3 linked regions of the Struthio camelus genome follow. The protein of the gene in region 1 purifies or fractionates together with the protein of each later gene. This does not show direct contact. Links are inferred from orthologs where the notes say so. Each region holds a gene or a part of one and is shown on either strand. Other genes may lie near its edges. The genes, in order: COPS3, DDB2 and BTBD2.

Region 1 (7,051 bases):
GGGCACAGCCAGCGTGGACTGCAGCCACGCGTGCCCCGGCGTGCACCCCCTGCGGGCACAGCCAGGGTGGGCTGCAGCCACGCGCGCCCTGGCGTGCACCCCCTCCGGGCACAGCCAGGGTGGGCTGCAGCCACGCGTGCCCCGGCGTGCACCCCCTCCAGGCACAGCCAGGGTGGGCTGCAGCCACGCGTGCCCCAGGGTGCACCCCCTCCGGGCACAGCCAGCGTGGGCTGCAGCCACGCGTGCCCCGGCATGCACCCCCTCCGGGCACAGCCAGGGTGGGCTGCAGCCACGCGTGCCCCGGCGTGCACCCCCTCCGGGCACAGCCAGGGTGGGCTGCAGCCACGCGTGCCCCGGCGTGCACCCCCTCCGGGCACAGCCAGGGTGGGCTGCAGCCACGCGTGCCCCGGCGTGCACCCCCTCCGGGCACAGCCAGGGTGGGCTGCAGCCACGCGTGCCCCGGCGTGCACCCCCTCCGGGCACAGCCAGGGTGGGCTGCAGCCACGCGTGCCCCGGCGTGCACCCCCTCCGGGCACAGCCAGCGTGGGCTGCAGCCACGCGTGCCCCGGCGTGCACCCCCTCCGGGCACAGCCAGCGTGGGCTGCAGCCACGCGTGCCCCGGCGTGCACCCCCTCCGGGCACAGCCAGGGTGGGCTGCAGCCACGCGTGCCCCGGCGTGCACCCCCTCCGGGCACAGCCAGGGTGGGCTGCAGCCACGCGTGCCCCGGCATGCACCCCCTCCGGGCACAGCCAGGGTGGGCTGCAGCCACGCGCGCCCTGGCGTGCACCCCCTCCGGGCACAGCCAGGGTGGGCTGCAGCCACGCGTGCCCCGGCGTGCACCCCCTCCGGGCACAGCCAGCGTGGGCTGCAGCCACGCGTGCCCCGGCGTGCACCCCCTCCGGGCACAGCCAGCGTGGGCTGCAGCCACGCGTGCCCCGGCGTGCACCCCCTCCGGGCACAGCCAGGGTGGGCTGCAGCCACGCGTGCCCCGGCGTGCACCCCCTCCGGGCACAGCCAGGGTGGGCTGCAGCCACGCGTGCCCCGGCATGCACCCCCTCCGGGCACAGCCAGGGTGGGCTGCAGCCACGCGCGCCCTGGCGTGCACCCCCTCCGGGCACAGCCAGCGTGGGCTGCAGCCACGCGTGCCCCGGCATGCACCCCCTCCGGGCACAGCCAGGGTGGGCTGCAGCCACGCGTGCCCCAGTGTGCGCCCCTTCTGCACCCGCTCAGGGCACAGCCAGGGTGGGCTGCAGCCACGCGTGCCCCGGCGTGCACCCCCTCCAGGCACAGCCAGGGTGGGCTGCAGCCACGCGTGCCCCGGCGTGCACCCCCTCCGGGCACAGCCAGCGTGGGCTGCAGCCACGCGTGCCCCGGCGTGCACCCCCTCCGGGCACAGCCAGGGTGGGCTGCAGCCACGCGCGCCCCGGCGTGCACCCCCTCCGGGCACAGCCAGCGTGGGCTGCAGCCACGCGTGCCCCGGCGTGCACCCCCTCCGGGCACAGCCAGGGTGGGCTGCAGCCACGCGTGCCCCGGCGTGCACCCCCTCCGGGCACAGCCAGGGTGGGCTGCAGCCACGCGTGCCCCAGGGTGCACCCCCTCCGGGCACAGCCAGGGTGGGCTGCAGCCACGCGTGCTCCGGCGTGCGCCCCTTCTGCACCCGCTCAGGGCACAGCCAGGGTGGGCTGCAGCCACGCGCGCCCCGGCGTGCACCCCCTCCGGGCACAGCCAGGGTGGGCTGCAGCCACGCGTGCCCCAGGGTGCACCCCCTCCGGGCACAGCCAGGGTGGGCTGCAGCCACGCGTGCCCTGGCGTGCACCCCCTCCGGGCACAGCCAGGGTGGGCTGCAGCCACGCGTGCCCCAGGGTGCACCCCCTCCGGGCACAGCCAGGGTGGGCTGCACCGACGCGTGCCCTGGCGTGCACCCACTCCGTGCATAGCCAGGGTGGGCTGCGCACACGTGTGCCCCGGGGTGCGCCCCTTCTGCGCCCACTCCAGGCGGCCAGGGTGGGCTGCAGCCACGCGTGCCCCGGCGTGTGCCCCCTCCGCGCATAGCCAGGGTGAGCTGCACCCACACCTGGTCCAGGTGACATGCCACCGAGGCAATGCGGGTGGGAGATACCCACTCTGGGCGCTTGGTCCCAAAGGGAGGCAGCGTAGCGAGAGGTGGCACGACCCAGAGCTGATGTTCTTGGCCAAAATGCTTCGCTGCCGCAGTTTCCTGACTTCTCGCATGGGGCGAGACCCTTTCCTTCAGGGTGTCTGTGTTTCAGTGCCCCGCAACACCCGTTAATCTCCCCTTGCCTGCTTGTTGCCACAGACGCTCTCCCCTCTGCGGTGTCTGTCCATACCTGTTTTGGAGCTGATGTGCTAGTACATGTTTTGGGGCACAATGTGCATATGTAACCCATGCGATGATTTTGGCAGCTAAACCTTAACGTACAATATGTGTGTTTCTACCAATGCACAGAGAGGAGTTATACTTTGCCCAGATTTTCATTAGATATGATGCGGTTCTGCCCATATGGGTGACAGAAACTTTTAAAAGAAGGTATCAGGACCCAGAAGAACGCTTAAGATGTGACGATAATGTATGGTGCTACAAGAGTTGACATGTCATAAGTGGACTATGCAGAGAGGAACTCAAGGTATTAGATTTCTAAGGGCTGACTGTCACAGAAACTACCTGCTGTAAAGGTTTGTATGATCTTTGGTCATGCGTTAGAATAATGTGGTGAACAAAACATTTAGGGGATTAAAGCTGATGGAGAAGACTGCAGAGGGTGACTAACAAGATGAGGCAAGTGCTGAGCTGGGAAAGAGGAGATACTGGTTGATAGTAATAACAGGACTTTCCAATTCTAGAATATTTCATCTCAATTCCAGAATATTTTTCAGGGGAATATGTTATCCCTGTTTCACATAGAGGGCAAATGAGCTGCAGAGATCAAGTGATTTGGGTGACGGTCTCAGACTGAATAAAGAAAGGAACAGAATTCCTGACAGCCGTGTTGTACATAATGTAAAACATACAGAGAGGTTACGAGGGAAAGTCTGTGATGTTTCAAGTCCATATTCTGCTCTCGCTCACACCAGATGCATCATGCTCATGGCAAAGAACGGGATTTCAACATACCTGGCATTTCTAAGCAGCGAGAGAATGCATACACGTCATTCATGCCATAGAAAAAGGTTTCCTTGTTTGTGGTGTGTCGAAGGACATCCTCCCAGCCCCAACAAATTCCCTGCCCTTAGCAGCTCAGGACAGCGTACCGACAAGTTTGGCTCCGGTAGGGATGGAAAACATGCCTGCGATTATATAACTGAGTGAACAGCACTGCTCCTTGGAACCAACTATGCAAACGTTGTTCCCCGACAGGAGGCAACGTAACTGTACACGATCACTTGGCAGCCACTGAGTTCAGCCCCTGTAAGAGAGGTAACACAGCTACGAAGAACCAGGTCTCGTTATGAAGTCACTCCCCATGTGAAGGCGGGTAAAAACCCGCCACCGCACGAGAGCAGCACGCGAGGGGATTCGTGGGCAGGTGCTGTCGAGGCTCCCGCGGGAGCCGGCGGGAGGCAAGCGGCACCCGCCGCAGGCCCCACCGCCACGGCGTGACCGCCGCCGGCCCCGCGCGGGGGCTGACGCTTAACCTCCCGCGGGAAAGCCCTTCGCAGCGGGCAGGCCGTCGCCCTGGCTGCCCACCTCAGCTGAAGGACCGTCACTGCAGGCCGCGTGCACGTCTGACGTCGCATGGACGGCCGCATGACGTCACGCACTGGGGAGAAGCAGGGGGGGGCGGCCCGGGAACCCGAGGCGGGAGGCAGGCCCTGACACCGTGACGCAAGCAGGGGCGGGTGACGCCATCATGACGTCACCGGCCTCGCCTCCCAACCCTGCTGAGTCACGGCCTCCCGCACTAAGATGGCCTCCCGGGCCCGGGGAGCGGGGCGGGCGCTTCCGGCGGGGAGAGGAAGGCGGCGGTTGCCACGGCGACCACGGCGGGCGGGGTGGGCGGCCGCCGCTCTCGCGAGAGCAGGGGCCGCGGCGGAAGTGACGCGCGGCGGCGGGCGTCTCGCGGCTCCCGCAGCGGCGGCTGATTGGCCGGCGGCGGCAGCGCCCGTGCCGCAGGCCCCTTCCCGCTTCCCCCGCCGCTCCCGGGCCGGGCCGCCCCCTCCTGCCCTCTCTCCCTCCCTCCCTCCCCCGCCCGCCCCGCCCCGCCCGCAGCGCGCGCGCGGCCGCGCCGCCAGCCGCCAAGATGGCGTCGGCCCTGGAGCAGTTCGTCAACAGCGTCCGGCAGCTCTCGGCCCAAGGTGACCGCGGGGGGGAGCCGCGCGGGGAGCGGGGCCGCCCGCCGCCTCGCCCCGAGGCCGAGAGCGGCCTGGCCGGCGCCGCCGGGAGCCCGTGGGAGGCGGCGGCAGCGGCGGCGAGGGGAGGAGGGGGGCGGCCCGCGGCCTGCCCCGTCCCCCGGCCCTCCCTCAGGTGCGGAGGGCGCGGGCGGGCCCCCTGGAGCAGCGCTGCTGCGAGGAGCGGGGGGGGGCGGGCCCGGCCGGGCCCTCGCTCGCCCTCCGGGCGGGAGTTTTGGGGCCCCCTTACTGCGCCTTCAGAGGGGGCCCTGGAGGGTTGAGCCTGGGCCGGTTTGACAGGGCATGGTGGGTAGGCTGTGCCCTCCTTGCTCATCGCGTCCTCTCCCAGGGCAGCTGCAAACCAGTCTCTTTTTTTGGGGTAGTTAGAGCCCCCGGGTGAGTGAATTGAAGAAGATGCAGGCAGCTTTGCCAAAATCTAAGCCTTGGAATCAAGGGGAGGGGGAAGAGGTGACATAAGAGGGACCTTAACTGATAGGGTATACACTATCTTGTCACCGAACTGCTGAGCATATACATTTCAGGAGGAGTACGTTAAAGTACTCTTCTTCAGGTGGGCAAAACGGAATATGGGCAGAAAAACACCGCCTTTGTTTTTGGGGCACTGAAAAGCTCTTCTGTCTCCACTGCTGAGATTTTTTTTTTTTTTTGGCCTACCATAGAAGCATATGATAGATATGTATAGGCCTGAGACTATACATAGGAGTTCTCATAGCCGAGTGTTTGGAAGGTGTTTTAATATCCTCAGTTAGGCTTTCTCAGTTTTATCGCCAAACTCCTAATTTTCCTGTGTGTGGGTACAGTATTTCCTAGTTCTTGAATCTTCTTGCTGTACTGATGCTCCCGAAAGCGTGTTTTCTGTTTTTTCTCTGCATGGGACGTTTGCTCCCTGGACGTCATCAAGAACTGATACTTTCTTCTATGGCCCCAGGCTTTTTCTCTGGTAGTTATATTTGGGTAGAGCTCAATTTTTCTCTTGTTTTATGCTTTAACTCATCAAGTCTATAGAATTTATACTTGTGGTATCAGATGCAAGCGACAACTCGTGCCTGCAAGATCAGGTACAAAACAAACAAAACAACAAAAAAAAGGTGCTTCTTTGTACATATGTAGTTCAGCTGTGGACCTTCTTTTTGCAAGGTTTTGTGGATGCTAACTGCTCAAGAGGAAACGGGTCACTTCATGGAAGTTCTTCCATTAGGGATTAGCCAGCTAGGCACTTCTTATAAGGCAGGACATCCATGAGCACGAACTATTGGAGGTTATGAGAGCGTACAGGAGAAGTACGTATGCTTGCAGTGTTGTTCTCTGGTCGTCAGCGTTTGGTTGCATGGCAGATGAGATAAATAGACCTTTGTCTGACCCGATGTGGGTATTTCTACTTATAAAAAAATAAAAATAAAAAACTTGCACTTTAAAGGGGAGTCTAGGTGATAGCAGCAGAGCAGGTAGATTGCCCTTTTAGGGGGGATATAAGTTTTTTTTCATTACTCGCATAGTATTACCCTCATCTCATGATGATTTCTGTAAAGGTGTGATAACCTCTGCTGCTTCTTCTTTCTCCTTTTCTTTTCCAGGGATTGAAAATTGAAAAGAAATTCTGGTTTAGAAAGGGGAAAGCTTTTAAGTAATTTTGGGAAAAAAAAAAAAAAGATTTTTGAAAGCAGTTCATGATAATCTGTCTTTGCTTTCTTTGTAAGGTTTCTTGGTATAGCATACTTTCCTAATTCAAAATATTTGCCTTTCATGCTGTATTCATAGCTCCTGCAAATAAAATAACACTGTAGTTCTAACTATATGAAGTAAATTTTAAAGACACTTTCTTAACCCTCTAGTCTATATATTTAGTTGTAATTTCAAAAAAAAAAAAAGTTTATAAGCAGACCTGAAAAGGTTGATCTGGCACTTGAGAAGCAGCAAGTAACAAGGCCTGCTGTTGCAGTTTTTTTGGAAGGGAATACTAGTCTTGGAATTGTTTTTCCCTGTAATACCTAGAAGGCACAAGTGTAGATCACACTTGCATGAAACAGAATGTTGAATCACAGTAAACTGACCAAAGTCTTGGTGACTTAGCTCAAGTGAAGCTTCGTTTTGATACGAGATCCCTGAAGCCCTCTCTCCGATGAGGCAAGTTGATACTGGATTTCATGTTCTGTTTGTGCTCTTAGGGTTTTCTTCACAGTCTCAAGGGCCAGAAGCTTAACTGTTTCCTTTTAAAAATATTCTGTTGGCACCTCACTTGTTGAAAACCGTGCCTAGTATATTCCAAAAAAGTAATTTATCTGGGTAAGATTACTTTTTTTTTTTTTCCTCCCTCAGATTATAGAGGGAAGCAAGGAGTAATAAAGTATGGGAATGCCTGAGTGTTTTCTAATTAGAGCTTGACGACGATGTTTCATATTTCAGGGCAAATGACCCAGCTTTGTGAGCTGATCAATAAAAGTGGAGAACTGCTAGCAAAAAATCTCTCCCATCTGGATACAGTGCTTGGTGCCCTGGATGTGCAGGAACACTCATTAGGCGTCCTTGCTGTCTTGTAAGTGTTATTTGCCTTTAATTAAATCTCTTAGTATCAAAACCTCAGGAAACGTGATGAACTGTCAGCAAAACATCTTACTTATGGACATAAATATTTTCACTCCACCCTTCTTATAATGGTGCTTAATTTCCTTGTGTGATGCACAC
Region 2 (7,127 bases), on another chromosome or scaffold:
GGCGGCTCAACATGGAGCCGGCACAAAGGGGCTCCTGTGTCCCCGCCGCGGGAGCCCGGCCGAGCAGTCCGGGCCGGCTGCCGGCGGCTTGCGGGGGGACCCGGCGCCCGCCGCCGCGACCTGCCGCGAACCGCGGAGCCCTCCCGGCCCGGCCCCGGCCCCGCCGCTCCTACCAGCCGCTGTCCGCGCCGCCGCCGCCGCCCCGCTCCCCGCGGGCAACGACCGGCCGGGCAGCGCCTCCCCCACCCGCCCCCTTTCCGTGAGGAAACTTTTCCCTTGAAGCCGCCAGCTGGTTTGCCGCGCCGAGCTGCCCCACCGCCTCCCACCGGGAGGAGGCGGCGGCGGGGACCGGACCGGGCTCTGCCCCCGCCCCGGCCCCCCGCGGCGAGCAGGTCGGGAAGCGGCGGCGGGGGCGACCCTCACACCTACCTCGCGGCGCGGCACGGCGCGGAGCGGAGCAGGGCGGCGGGCGGGCGGCCACCTGGGCTGGGAGCGGGCCGGGCCCTCCCCCTATTTCAGCCGCGGGACACGGGGGCTCCCGGCCCGCCTCCCGCCGCCAGCGGCTGCCGGCGGGGCGGGCCCGGCCCGGCCCGGGCACTCGGGACGCGGCGCGGCGCCCCCGCCCGGAGCTCCCGATCCAATTAAGGGGCTGTGGGCCGGGGGAGCGGGGCCCCCGCCGCAGGGGGGCTTCTTCTCCGGGTTTTCTAGGTTGGCGTTTCTGCTTTTTGGTGCCGCTGTTAGGGACTGGGCGACAGCAGCCGGGCGGCGACCCGCGGGGCGCGCAGCAGCCCCTCGCTGGCAGCCCCTGGCGCGTCGGGCCTGGCCCCGCGCGCCCGCCGCCGCCGCCGCTCTCGCCCGGTGCCCTGCTCCCGGCCCTCCCGGCCAGCCTCCGCCGCGCCGGCCCGGCTCGGTCGCTCGCTCTCTTTTCCTCTGAAAAACATTTTCTGCCTCATCCACAGCTCACCTCTAAGTCCCCGCAGCCCCTCGGGTGACACCAGCTCCTTCCGAGCGCCGGGAGCTCGCGCGCCAGAGTTTCCATTTCCAACCCCGGCCTTGGGCGTGATTTGCCATGACGCTAGGGCAGGGCTTACGCCAGGCGAGCTGCGAGGCCTGGCTGGCCCCTTGCCCCTACTTTGCTTCCAAGCGACTTGGGACACAGCGCCAAGGAGCGAGTTCACAATGACGTTTATTCAATCGGTGGAGAAAGGGAAGACGGAGCGCCTCACAGAAGGAAGAGCGTGCCACACATCCGTGCTCCTGCTTCTTCGGAGTGCTACCGTGCGAGGAAGTCCTGTGTTGGAAAGCAGATGTTAGAAACCATTCTGCTTAATTTGCTTTGGCCCCGATCCTTTGCTCGCTTTTAATGCGCGTGGAGTTCCCGGGGAGATGGGCACCCGCAAGAAGTCCCTGAGTTGGTGTTACAATGAGTATCCTTTCAAAAAGTGACGCGAGATCTTTAACTTATCCTAAAAGTTAATCATAGCTGAAAATATAAGCACCAACTTCATATTCGACTGAAAAAAAAAAACGGTGTTTGGCATAGATGCTCCCTAATTCGAGATTTCCTTTCCATCATCAATTTTATGTACATTAATGAAGAGCAGAAAAAGGAAAAAAATCTGTCATAGATTAATATGCTACATCCAGCATTTATCCTGTGTTTTCATATGCTGATTTTCATACTGGTTTTGATATTGATAGCCATGCACAGAGCATCTAAAATAGATGCTTTCCATTTGGGGATCTGGCCCTCTGCACCCTTTCACCAACACTGATTAAATGGCATGGGTCCTGCATGACGTGGCAGCTTCACGCCTTTCCTCTAAGGCTGGAATAGCTTTGGGAAAATGGATTGCTCAGGTAAATGAGGTGATTAAAACAGTGACTTTTTTGTCTGTTTTCCCATTACCTGGCAGCTTAGTTAAGGTCATGGGCTAGAAGGAGGTCGGAGAGCATGATACTTACTCTCTCTTGTATCTCTTGAGGATTATAGGTTTTTTCCTACTTTTTAGTAGAACACAGGCTCGCTTCCACATGCAGGCCAAATTCAAGTTGCTGTGATGGTACTCTTTACATGAGTAGTCACGCTAAAGCAGCCAAAACCATTCATGCTTTGGAAAAAGATCCTGGCAACAAGGAGGCAAAATACCTAATACTATTACATACACCATCAAGTTGATGGTCTTAATGGCAGTATAGCTTTACCAGACCTGGTAACGACACTGCTGTATTCTCTGTTGGAGAGCCATGCATAACCAAGGCAGAACTTTACTAAAATCATAGGTCAGACAAAAGGCATCGTAAAAATAAGACTCATATCCTGCCCACCCGTAATTATACTTGCCTGACTTTGCTGCATACATTACTACTATCGGGTCTGAAGAGTGTGAGACTGTAAATACATTTAAGAACATTTTTCCAATTACTCTTTCTCTGGACTGCTCAGCATGCAGCGTGTCCTTCGTACCGTACCAGCACAGCGATACTTATCTCTGGAACCCTGGGTCAGTGGGGTTTCTTTTATCTGCATATGTTATCTGCTCTTCTTGTCCGTAGTAAATAGTAATTACAAAACTATCTGGCGACTCTCTAGAGGGAAAGCAAACTTGGTGTAATTGATTAAAAAAAGGACAGCCCTGATTGACAGCTCAAAGCGGGAAATCCCTAGGTTACTATGCATGTTCTCTGCCCGAGGAAGCTCACCCTGGAGGCAGAGGAATGGAAGGGGGATAGGAAGTGCACATCTTTGCTGGAAATAACTTGGATAACAGGATCAGCGTTTACTTTGGGAGCAGTACATAGATCATGGAAATCAGTAGATGTCTTTCAATCCACTTGAAGACGACTGGGATCGAGGCCTGTTTTTTCCAGTTACAAACATAGCTACGTACCCTTTTAAAGTATCTGAAAAGCAGATGTTAAGAATTACATAGTTTAATTTGAAATTTATTGGTGATTCCTGATGAACTCCACAGATTGTGCCTCCTCCTCCGATGACTTCCGCAAACCTGTGGACGAAACTGCTAATCACTGTTACGAGAAGAAGGATATTTTCCCATGTTATTTCCCTTCTTAGAAATCAAGCCTTCAAGGCTTCTGAGGGCTGAAGGCAAGTACTACTTTGAATTATTACTAACAGTATTTCTTGTTAATGGGTAAGTTCTCAGAACAATGTTATGTATTATAAAAATGCTTGATAAAACATGTCAACCTAATTAGCAAATGTGTTAATATGTTCTCAAAGACATTAAGTGCTGTCTGTCAGGGGTTATGACTTTTTCTATGTTATTCTGATACTTAGTCCTAGGGTGCCAGGAACTAATACAGTGTTGTTATAGTTCAGCAAAAAAAGTCCAGCGTGTGGTTTGGGTCCCTGTTGTTTCTTTTGGTAATTTTTCTATGCATTTTCTAAGATAGCAAAAAAAAAAAAAACAACCACCCAACAACAACCCAAGGAGTGGTGACAGCTATTTTAGGACCTGGGTTCAACGGCAGCTGTGTGGATGACCGGACCTTAATCACTCGGCATAGCTGCTGGTGGACCTGAAGCAGGGGGTGCCCCCGCTCCCGGCGGCGGGGGCGCCCACCGAGGCCCCGGGGCGGCCGTCGCTGGTGGCGCTCGGGGCTCCCGCCGCCTCGCGGCTCGCCGTTCGCCTTCCTGGCGCGCTTCGTTGCACAAGAGCCAGCAGTGCCCGAGTCACCTTGCCGCGCATTAGAAATTACTGCGTAACCCACGCTGCTGGGACTTCTCTACCTACCTTTAAAGAGCCTACCTTTTTTTTTTTTCTGCAGTTGAGTCCCAACACAACTCAGCCCTCAGATATGTCTTCTTGAGAAAGCTGTATTTTGAAGCAGTATCTTTTTTTTTTTTTTTTTTGGGGGGGGGGGTTGCTACAGGCCCCTGCCAGGCTGCTGCAATAGGCCAAAGCGGCGCTCTGTTTAAAAAAATAACAATTAAAAAGAAAAAAAAAGCATGTAAGGCTAGAAGACCTGTGCCCCCCAAAATAATAATAAGCTGCCAGGCGGCCGCCGCAGACGTAACAGCACCTTTGGCCCCGGCGCGGCCGAGCGCGGAGCCGGGCGGCGGCTGTGCGCCGGGGCCCGCCGCCAGGGGCCGGGCCGGGCCGCCATGGCGGGGGCGCCGGCGGCCTGCGGGCTTACCGCCGCCGCGGAGGCGGAAGAGCCGCTAGCCCGCTTCCCCGCCCCGCTTATGAAACGGCCGGGGAGGTGCCCGCTGCCGCCGGCCGGGGGAGCCGAGGCCGCCGGAGCCCAGGTGAGAGGCAGCGGCCGGGCGAGGCCTGGCGCCGGCGGGTGGGTGCAGGAGCGGGCGGCGGGCGGCGGGGGCGGCGGCCTGGGCGCTGCTGCGGGCGGTGCGCTGCAGGCCGCGTCGTCTTCGTAAAAGCTCCGGTCTCTCCCCTTAGCTGCCCCCCAAGAGGTCTCAGTGAGCTCCCGGAGAAACCAGCTACGGCGTTACGTGGTGTCCCAGCGGTACTTTACGCAGGTCTGTGGGTTTTAAGCTTAAAAGCTCCGCGGAGGCGTTTGTGGCCCGAACACAACTCGGGTGCCCTGGGGTGCGTTCGTTTTCACGTGCGAGCAAGGAAGAGGTTATTGAACCTGCTCCGGTAGAGCGCAACGCGAGGGCAGCGCCAGGCGGATGGAGGAGGGCGCAGGTACAGTCACTGCGTCCAGACCGCTGGGACGTGTTTCAGTCCCCTTTTCTCCTCTGTCTTCCGGCTAAAAAGCGTATGGCAGCCTTACCTTCCACGCTTTGTTCGCTTTCAGTGGTCAGACAGAATGGCTCTGGAGAACCAGCCCAAGGACAAGAAGCATGTGAGGACACATGAGCATCAGCTAGCAGAACTGGCAAAATCAGCTGGGAAAAGGAAACAAGACTATGAAGAAATAGAGAACGAGCCACAAGCAAAGAGGTTGTTTGTGAGAAAAACGTCCAAACCCCCAGAGAAAATAGGTAACGTTTCCTCAGGTTCTTGCTGGTTTTGCCAGGCAGATTTACCCTAAATGACAGGCATCGACTAGCTGAAGAGGGAAGATGCCAGCAAGCCTGCAGCCTGTTCAAACACGAGCGTTTGGATTGGATTATATTAAGGATTAAGGATTAAGTGATACACAGATGCGTGGTGGGGTATTACAGTCTCCAGTTATCTGTCTAATGAGCGTGCATGTGTATGCATGTTTCATTTTTGAAAGTTGCTACCCTTGCTGGACGCCTGCTCACTGAAGTCTCTGTCGCAGCTCACGGGAGGGTGATTAAGTTCTGTGGAATTCCTGATTTACCAGATGTCTGCTTTATTGTAGGACAGACCGATCCCTGTAATGTATTGTTTTTGTCATGTAGTTCTTAATGCAGTTTCATAATCGTAAGCTTGGTATCCTACAGTTTAGCATACAGTCTAAACTGGCATATTCTTTGCATATTCTGACTTTACCTACAGTAGGCAGGAAGGCTACATCCTTTCTACCTCTATATTTAGGTATTTATATTAGACTGGACAGAATTCCACTAATCACTTCTCCACATCTGCTTTTTTTTTTTTTTCTCTTGTATGTAATTTAGGAAAACGTCTCTTAAACGTTTTTGCTATGATGAGACGGAGCTGGTTGAGTTCGTAGATATTGGAAAGATTCATGCTTTGCATTGTCAGGAGAGTTGTATAGACTTCGGTTAGACTAACGATTGTTTTCATGTTTCTACGGGCATTATTTTTTTGATTCCACGTTTTGCTTAGGAGACCAGTAGAGTTATTGCCTGGTGTGGAAATAGTATACACTTTCTGTGCCTTTTTTTTTGTTTTGTTTTTAAGATCCAGAAATTACTGTAGGGTTTTTTTTTTTAATATTTGGAGATACAGGAGTTCTGCCATTTTGTACATTCACATTCTCTGATGTGTAACTCCAACCTTCAGATCAGTTGACAGTGTGAATAGTGAATGAAGATAAAATATTCTGTTTAAAAGGAGTTCTGCTTATGATGGTGGATAATTAACACTTTTTTAGTTAATTTAGCTACAAGATTTTTACTGTAACTTCACGGCCTGATTTTCAGATTTGGTGAGTTTTGCAGTTCCCATAAGATTCAGAGGGAATTGGAAGTGGCTAGTACTTTGGGAAAACGAGGCCAAGCTTATTTTTCCCTTACACCTTTCTTAAAAACAAGAAGACAAAAACTTTTGCATTTGAGCTTTTCCGTTCTGTGTCCCAATTTTGATTTTTATGTACTTTGGAAAACATGATTTTTTTCCCCAAGTAACATAAGAGAGATTCAGTTTCTTGCAATCAAAAACATTTCTTCCCCTGGATTCAGAAAAGTCCGAAAGTTTCTCTTCTTAACAAATTATCCTTCCTAACAAAACTGAATCTGAAAAAATACCCCTCTAGTATCACCTTTGAAGAAAGTACTGAAGATGCTAACTCTTCTGTGAAAACGAGGAATTTGAATGGAGATGTTTTTATATCTATTTCAGCAGGTGTGACACATGCCTGCTATGCTGGCATGTGAATAAAGAAGTTTAGTGTCACACCACTGCATCTCTAGGCTACAGTGTTGCATTAAAGAAAGATTTCCTTTACTGTCTCGTCATGAAGGATGATGTCTGTGTTTTGGTCCTATTTTATTATTAATATCCTGACATGAAAATAGGATTTTTGTTTCTTAAGAAATGCTTCCTTGCCATTTGACATCTAGATCCCCTGGGGTGTTATGGACCATTGCTGTGGGAACGATTAGATCACAGACATGGGACTGAACGGATCCTGTTTTCATGCAAAGGTCCCTGAAGATAAAACTTGGAACACGAACAAAATGTCGAAGCAGTCTGTGCTCTCAGCAAAACTCACGCTGAACAGAAAGGTTTTCAGGCGATGAGGCGTCAGCAAGTCTATTATCAAAAACCAAACTCGCAGTGCTGTAGGCAGGCTGTATGGGCTACAGCACAAGCAGATCGAATGTTCTGATTCACGAGCAGGCGTTTCAGGAACTGCATGGGAACTCCTGTGTTACTACGCTTGGGGAATTTTCAGGTGGTGGTGTTCTGCTGGTCACAAGTCTGACCTTCCCTCTGCTATAAGCTCACCCCCTCCCACTGCACGTTTCCAAGTCATTGGCGGGG
Region 3 (7,973 bases), on another chromosome or scaffold:
GGCTCTCCAGCCGCACTGATTTCATGACCCTCAGCTGCTTGTAGCTTGCTCTTGTGCAACCAAGAACCTCCAGCCCTGTATTTGGTCAGCCTTCGGCAACTGAATTAAACTGACTCCTCCACCCAGAGCTATTACTGTGGTTCGGGTGTCTATCATATTATGTATAGTTCCTTATCAAAACCTAGTCTAAAATAGCACTGGCTTTTGCTGAGTGCCTTATTTGTGAAGAAATCTGTTGGCTGTCACATCCAGGAATAACAGCGCCTTGGTCCTGGGACGTTGCAGCAAACACCTTGCCCCATCCCACAGAGCTTGCTGTAGGCTCCCCTGCCAAGGTGACAGTGACCTAAATGGCTTTCTGTGCTATCCATATTATCCCTTCTTATTTCTGTGTTTCTTTACGCTGGGCCTGGTTTTACCTGCACAATAGGAATTGTTCTTCATTTATTCATCAATTGTTCTCTATTTATTCATCACACGGTGAATAAATAGGATCTGTCTAATGAGCTGCGGCATGGCCCATATGATGGGTAGAGCACAGAAAGGAGCGGAGGAGCCCTGGAGCTCAGAGTTGAACAGATTGAATAGCTCCAAATGCAGTCAGTGGGGAGGGATCACCTGCCCAAATCTCTCACCAGGCCCCAAATCAGCAAGAGGGCTCAGGGTGGGGGGGAGGTGCTGAATCCCCTCCTTGCATGTTGGAGAAGCTGGCACCCTCCCTGTGAGATGCACCGACCCCTTGGAGATATCATTTCTCGAGGATGGCCCAGCCTTGGATTTGCTGGGGTTTGGGAAGGGGGATATGACAGGAGAGAGGCTTTGTCCTCCTCCACCTCTGTCCCCATTAGCAGTGGCCAGATGGATGTTCACGCACCTCCTAGGTGCGGAGGCCAGGCCAGGCCTCCTTGGCCAGGCCTTTTTCTGACCTTCATGGAGCCTAAGGGCTGTGGGGACACACCGGCTGGTGCACATCTGCCCTAGAAAAGCCAACCAGGGTGCAAGAAAACGTAATTCCGAGTCTTCCAGGCCTGCGCTGGGGTGCATGCTGCAGTCTTTAGCTCCCTCTAACGTTTATCGCCCGAATGAAGCATCCAATGGCCTACGAGGACAGAGCCGGGACTGGACAGCCTCCCTACTGGCAGCTGCCAGATATGTGGATATTGTTTTTGAGAGTAAAAGTACTATGCTAAGATGCATAGAAGCAGCCTGTCCAGCAACGGGGTGTGAGCCTGCGATGTGTTGAGCAAACGGCATGAAAAACACAAAGTTTTAAAAAAGAGAACACTTCTGCACTTAATGCTCAGTTATCATTAACATAAGAAAGATTTCAAATGAAAAAGAAAAACGTCCCTCTAAAGTAAGGCTCTTACTCATTCCTACATGCACAGACTACACACCAGAGGGGACTGTTACGACAGTCAGCTCTGAACTCCAGCATAACTGGAGGTTGCAGGAGTTTCCTAGATTAGTTCATTTGAAGTGCAACACAGTTTTAAAAAAATCCAGTGAAACCTGCCAGTGGGGGAGATTTCACCACACCTGTACCTACTCCAGTCATTGTCCCCCCCTCCCAAAACACAGCACAGCCCTCTAGGCTGTTCTTCAACCAGTCAGCAGAACTTTTTATTTCCTCCTGTTAGATGCAGGGAGAGGCTACTACTGAAGTTTTTGTACCTCGGGTAGTAATGAATTGCAGCCAACTCACTCCTTAACCTTCTTTTGGTTAAGCTACATGCTGCACCTCTGGAGCCTTTGACAACAAGGAGTGTTATCCAAACCTTTCATCATTTTTTCTGACCAGTGTCACAGGGCTCAGGGCAAACGCTCTGCTGCAGGGCTAGAGGCAAACACGATCATTGCTCTTTGCTGGGGCTCTCAAGTGGCACTTTGGTACCAAAATCCTTTCGTGTTGTAACACGAGACTTGACCATGGAACTATTAACTCTGGAAAGCCTCTCATAAAGGATCCTCTGCCAGACTAAGCCCCTACTTTGCCTCTAGAACCTGTCTGCGTATATTTGTTTAACACTACTATACGTAACGCAGCAGGCATATGATATGTATTTGAGAACATGATACAAAACCAGACTGGCAGCTCTTGATCAAAAACAACGGTGTAATAGTATCACTGGGCTAGGCCCTGGCAATGTCTGGCTACAGCGATTGATCTGTGAGAGTCCCGAGCTACACAAGAGTCTCTAAGCCTTGAATCGATATAAACAGCATGCCATCGTGTATTAAAGAAATGATAACGCAAAACTGCAGAAAACAGAAGGGGAGGACAATACGTCTCCTTACTCAATAGTTACTGAGCACGTTGAATCAAGGACCGCACATTTGCTCTCAAACGCACGTGCACGCACCTCTAAGAGGCAAACACAGATCAGGGAGCGGATAACAGAGAAAGGGGGAATGTAATTACCCCATGAAGAATAAATCACCTTTGCTTTAATGGTTCAGTTACTGAGATCACAGTAAGGCAACGGCAGAGCCTCTTAATTATTTTTCTGCCTTTCAGATTCCTCCTGTCCTCCGTGCCATGTCATACCTCATGCTGGCTGGCAAGGAGATAAATATCTGTTGTTATCTGTGTGCCGGCATGCATTGCTGCAGAGCTATCTTGCAGGGCAGAGGAAGGGAGCGCACCAACATCTCGCAGGATCTCTACAGCCACAGTGAGGTGGCAGCAGCGTGTATCAGGTGAGGGATGAGGCCTGCGTGCAGCAGCCTTTCCTGCACGAAACTCCCCGGTAGCAGGCGTTAATGCTGTGCTTGCGGGGAAGCAGGTCCTGTGCGTCAGCAGAAGCAGCCAGTCCCTCCGGGCTAATTATTTTGAGGAATTACTGGGCACCAATTGCCGTGTCCTTGGGATGCCAGGGAAGTTTGGGTCTCTGCTTTATAGGAAAAGGCGGTTTGTAAGAGCAGGAAGGTGACACAGGAGCCCCCCTCGCACCCAACTCTCTGCCCTCCCCAGCCCCCCAAACTGCCCACCCCAATCCAGGTTGCCCCTCTGGCCCCACACCCCCACTCCACATACCCCTGCACCCCTGCCTCCTCCCCAGACCCCCTCACGTTTCCTCTCACCTGGGACTGCCCCACACCATGGCCCACATCTCCCACACCCTTCACCCCCCAGGACGGTCCCTCCAATTTCTCATCCCCATTCACCCCTCATAAACCCCAGAACTGCCCCCTCACCCCCCCAAAATTCCCTCCCCCACAGGATTGCCCCTGCACCCCCATCCCTCACACCCCCCCGAGCTGCCCCCCCCTCAGCCCCACAGCCCTCACGCTCCAGAATTGCCCCCTGCACCCGCACCCCTCTCAGTACTGTCCCCCCCCATGTCCCCTCCAACCCCACCCCGGCCCTATACCCCCCCCGAACTGCCCCTCTCAAGGACTGCCCCTTGCTCCCCCCCAACCTGCCCCTCACGTAGCTGCCCTCCTACCCCCTGGATCTGCCTCGTGGCTGTTGCCCCCCTCATCCCTCAGAACTGCCCCCCTCAGCCCCCCCATCCCCCAGAACTGCCCCTCTCGGGACTGCCCCCCTTCATGCCCCACATCTGCCCCCTCTGGCCCAGAAATGCCCTTCACGAGGGTGTTGCCCTCGCCCCCCAGATCTGCCCTCTCACGCCCCAGACCTGCCCCTCTCAGGATTGCCCCACTCACCCCCCCAATCTGCTCCCCACCCCCAGATCTGCCCTCAGGGACTGCGCCCCTCACTGCCCAGAACTATGCCCCACTCCCCCAAATCTGCCTCTCCTTCTCCAGGCTTGCCTCCCACCCCCCAGACCTGCCCCCCTCATGCCCCAGACCTGCCCCATCCCCCAAATCTGCCCCCCACCCCCCAGACCTGCTCCTCACGACATCGCCCCCCCATCCCCCAAATCTGCCCCCCACCCCCCAGACCTGCTCCTCACGGGATTGCCCCCCCATCCCCCAAATCTGACCCCCAGTCCCCAGACCTGCCCCTCACGACATCGCCCCCCCATCCCCCAAATCTGACCCCCAGCCTCCAGACCTGCCCCTCACGGGATCGCCCCCCCATCCCCCAAATCTGCCCCTCAACCCCCAGACCTGCTCCTCAGGGATTGCCCCCCCCATCCCCCAAATCTGCCCCTCAACCCCCAGACCTGCCCCTCACGGGATCGCCCCCCCATCCCCCAAATCTGCCCCCCACCCTCCAGACCTGCTCCTCATGGGATCGCCCCCCCCATCCCCCAAATCTGACCCCCACCCCCCAGACCTGCTCCTCACGGGATCGCCCCCCCCATCCCCCAAATCTGCCCCTCAACCCCCAGACCTGCTCCTCAGGGATTGCCCCCCCCATTCCCCAAATCTGACCCCCACCCCCCAGACCTGCTCCTCACGGGATCGCCCCCCCATCCCCCAAATCTGACCCCCAACCCCCCAGACCTGCTCCTCACGGGATCGCCCCCCCATCCCCCAAATCTGACCCCCAACCCCCCAGACCTGCTCCTCACGGGATCGCCCCCCCATCCCCCAAATCTGCCCCCCACCCCCCAGACCTGCTCCTCACGGGATCGCCCCCCCCATCCCCCAAATCTGACCCCCAACCCCCCAGACCTGCCCCTCAGCGATCGCCCCCCGGCCCCTCACAGCCCTCCCCACACCCGGAGCTGCCCCCGGCGCGGGGCGGTGCGGTGCGGCCCCGCCCGCCGCTGCCACCGCCGCTGCCACCGCCGCCGCCGCCGCCGCCCCTTCCCTCCCCTCCCCTCCCGCCGCCGCCGCCACCGCCCCTGCCGCCGCCGCCGCCGCCCCTCCCGCCGCCGCCCCTCCCCTCCCGCCGCCGCCCCTCCCCTCCCCTCCCCTCGCCTCCCCTCCCGCCGCCGCCGCCGCTCCCTCCCCTCCCCTCCCTCCCCTGGCCCGGCCGGCGGCGGCGCCGCGCCGAGCCCCATGCGCCGCTGCTGCCCGGCTCTCTGCATCCACAGCAGCAGCCGCGGCGCCGCCCGCCCCGCCGCCATCGCCGCCGCCCCCCTCCTGCTGCCCGCCGCCGCCGTGTCCCGCCCGCCGCCGCTCCTGGTGCTGCTGCTGCTGCAGCGCCGCCCCGCGCCGCCCGCTGCTGCGCCTCCGCCGCACAAGATGGCGGCCGGTGGGAGCGGCGGGGGCCCCGGGGGCCTCTCCTCCTCCTGCCCGCAGCCGCCGCCGCCGCCGCCGGGCAACGGCGCCGCCGCCGCCGCCTGCACCAACGGCGCCCCCTCCTCGCCGCCCGGCCTCACCTACAACCAGTGCGGGGCCGCCAACCCGGCGGCGGGCGGCGGCGGCGCGGGGGGCCCGGCGGCGGCGGCGGCGGCGGCGGCGGCCGGGGGGGCCGGCGGGGCGGGCGGCCCCGGCGGGGCGCTGCAGCGGGAGCCCGTCTATAACTGGCAGGCGACGAAGCCCACGGTGCAGGAGCGCTTCGCCTTCCTCTTCAACAACGAGGTGCTCAGCGACGTGCACTTCCTGGTGGGCAAGGGCCGCGGGTCGCAGCGCATCCCGGCCCACAGGTGGGCACCGCGCGCCGGGGGCCCCGGCGGCCGAGCCGGCGGGGCGGGCAGGGCAGCGGGGGAGGCCTCCCGCCCGGCCCCGCGTGGGCGCTGCGGGCAGCGGGGGGGCTGCGGCGGGGCCGCGGGCCCGGGGACCCGGGTGTCGGAGCCTGACCCGGGAGGGGGGGTGCAGGCCTTTGGGGTGCCGGGGACCCGGGTGTCGGAGGCTGGCCGGGGGGGGGGGTGGTACAGGCCTTTGGGGTGCCGGGGACCCGGGTGTCGGAGGCTGGCCGGGGAGGGGGGGTGCAGGCCTTTGGGGTGCCGGGGACCCGGGTGTCGGAGGCTGGCCGGGGAGGGGGGGTGGTACAGGCCTTTGGGGTGCTGGGGACCCGGGTGTCTGAGCCTGGCCAGGGAGGGGGGGTGGTACAGGCCTTTGGGGTGCCGGGGACCCGGGTGTCGGAGGCTGGCCGGGGAGGGGGGGTGCAGGCCTTTGGGGTGCTGGGGACCCGGGTGTCGGAGGCTGGCCGGGGAGGGGGGGTGCAGGCCTTTGGGGTGCCGGGGACCCGGGTGTCGGAGGCTGGCCGGGGAGGGGGGGTGCAGGCCTTTGGGGTGCCGGGGACCCGGGTGTCGGAGGCTGGCCGGGGAGGGGGGGTGGTACAGGCCTTTGGGGTGCCGGGGACCCGGGTGTCGGAGGCTGGCCGGGGAGGGGGGGTGGTACAGGCCTTTGGGGTGCCGGGGACCCGGGTGTCGGAGGCTGGCCGGGGAGGGGGGGTGCAGGCCTTTGGGGTGCCGGGGACCCGGGTGTCGGAGCCTGGCCGGGGGGGGGTACAGGCCTTTGGGGTGCCGGGGACCCGGGTGTCGGAGGCTGGCCGGGGAGGGGGGGTGGTACAGGCCTTTGGGGTGCCGGGGACCCGGGTGTCGGAGGCTGGCCGGGGGGGGGGTACAGGCCTTTGGGGTGCTGGGGACCCGGGTGTCGGAGGCTGGCCGGGGAGGGGGGGTACAGGCCTTTGGGGTGCCGGGGACCCGGGTGTCGGAGGCTGGCCGGGGGGGGGGGTACAGGCCTTTGGGGTGCCGGGGACCCGGGTGTCGGAGGCTGGCCGGGGAGGGGGGGTGGTACAGGCCTTTGGGGTGCTGGGGACCCGGGTGTCTGAGCCTGGCCAGGGAGGGGGGGTGGTACAGGCCTTTGGGGTGCCGGGGACCCGGGTGTCGGAGGCTGGCCGGGGAGGGGGGGTGGTACAGGCCTTTGGGGTGCCGGGGACCCAGGTGTCGGAGGCTGGCCGGGGAGGGGGGGTGGTACAGGCCTTTGGGGTGCTGGGGACCCGGGTGTCGGAGGCTGGTTGGGGGGGGGAGTCCTGTCCTTTGGGGTGCCCAGGGACTCAGGCATCCGAGCTTGGCTGGGGGTGGCTGGAGGGGGTTGTACAGGCCTTTGGGGTGCCCAGGGACTCAGGTGCCCAAGCCTGGCTGGGGGGGGGGGAAAGGTGGGGGGGTACAGGCCTTTAGGGTGCCTAGGGACCCAGGCAACTGAGCCTGGCCAGGGGAAGGAGGAGGTGGGGAGGGTACAGGCTTTTGGGGTGCCGTGGGGCTGGGACCCAGGCATCTGAGCCTATGGGGGGGGCAGGAGGGAGCATCCTCCGGGCGCCTCAGCCAGGCACTGTGCAGATGCTTTGGGGTGCCCCAGGGAGGCCCAGCCGGGCGTGGGGTGACGGGTGCCTTCCTGGCCCTGTGGGCCTGGCTGGATGCTGAGGAGGAGCGTGGCTTGCGAAAGAGAGCGGGGGGCCGGAGCTGGCGGGAGGCACGGGCTCTGCTGCGGGACAGGGATCGGGGATTGCTGTGGCTCCCCGATGCCTTCTGGGGGGTGATGTGCCATCGGCTACTGCTGGGGTTTGACAGGGGTTGGGCTTCTCTCCCCTCCCGAAAGCAAAAATAGAGATCAGGTAACTTTGCTCTGTGTTTTATCTGTTGTTGCGAGCCGCTAACCGGAGGGTGCGCGCCCCAGCGGTAACGTGATAGCCAGGCCCGTCTCCGCTCTGCAAAACCATGGCCTCCGACGCCTCGGAGACCCGGTCTGGCAGGGATGGATGGAGCAGGGATCACCGGGTCCGCGGCGATCCAGAGCTGTGGTTTAGTCTTTGACGTGGTCCTAATGGTGTGGACGTGCTTAGGGGTGACTCTGCTTTCTGGGTTGGTCGGCTGTTGTTGCATCAAATCTCTCCAAACCCTCAGATTTGACTTAATGTTTCTTATTAGGCTTCCCAAATCGTGTGGCAGGGTCTGACTTCCAGTCGCGCAGTGTTTTCCCTGAAGGGTAGGTGTGACCGAGGTGTGTTGGCTGAGCAGCCAGCAGAAGCACAGCAGGAAAAAACAAATCCGTAGGTTTCCCTCGGAAGCAGTCCTTGTTTTTACGGGTGGCGGTGGAGAGGAAGAACGTTCTCCAAGATTGTTTGGCCCTCGTCAAAGGACACAGGGATCGGTGTGTGCGTTGGGGCA

The links.
Region 2: the proteins of COPS3 (region 1) and DDB2 purify together in Homo sapiens (affinity purification with mass spectrometry; 7 studies listed by BioGRID and IntAct, with this or other methods). This does not show direct contact. The link is inferred for Struthio camelus from reciprocal best matches to the Homo sapiens genes COPS3 and DDB2.
Region 3: the proteins of COPS3 (region 1) and BTBD2 purify together in Homo sapiens (affinity purification with mass spectrometry; 3 studies listed by BioGRID and IntAct, counting the BioPlex papers as one, with this or other methods). This does not show direct contact. The link is inferred for Struthio camelus from reciprocal best matches to the Homo sapiens genes COPS3 and BTBD2.

The regions. Positions count from the first base shown.
Region 1 is NC_090956.1:4,026,523-4,033,573, forward strand, and holds the start of COPS3 (COP9 signalosome complex subunit 3), read left to right. Parts: upstream 1-4,029; 5' UTR 4,030-4,260; coding exon 4,261-4,315; intron 4,316-6,772; coding exon 6,773-6,902; intron 6,903-7,051. UniProt on the Homo sapiens protein: Component of the COP9 signalosome complex (CSN), a complex involved in various cellular and developmental processes.
Region 2 is NC_090946.1:39,425,736-39,432,862, reverse strand, and holds the start of DDB2 (DNA damage-binding protein 2), read left to right. Parts: upstream 1-4,108; 5' UTR 4,109-4,129; coding exon 4,130-4,273; intron 4,274-4,421; coding exon of another isoform or gene 4,422-4,501; exon of another isoform or gene 4,502-4,670; intron 4,671-4,782; coding exon 4,783-4,969; intron 4,970-7,127.
Region 3 is NC_090967.1:3,243,075-3,251,047, reverse strand, and holds the start of BTBD2 (BTB/POZ domain-containing protein 2), read left to right. Parts: upstream 1-4,904; 5' UTR 4,905-4,917; coding exon 4,918-5,507; intron 5,508-7,973.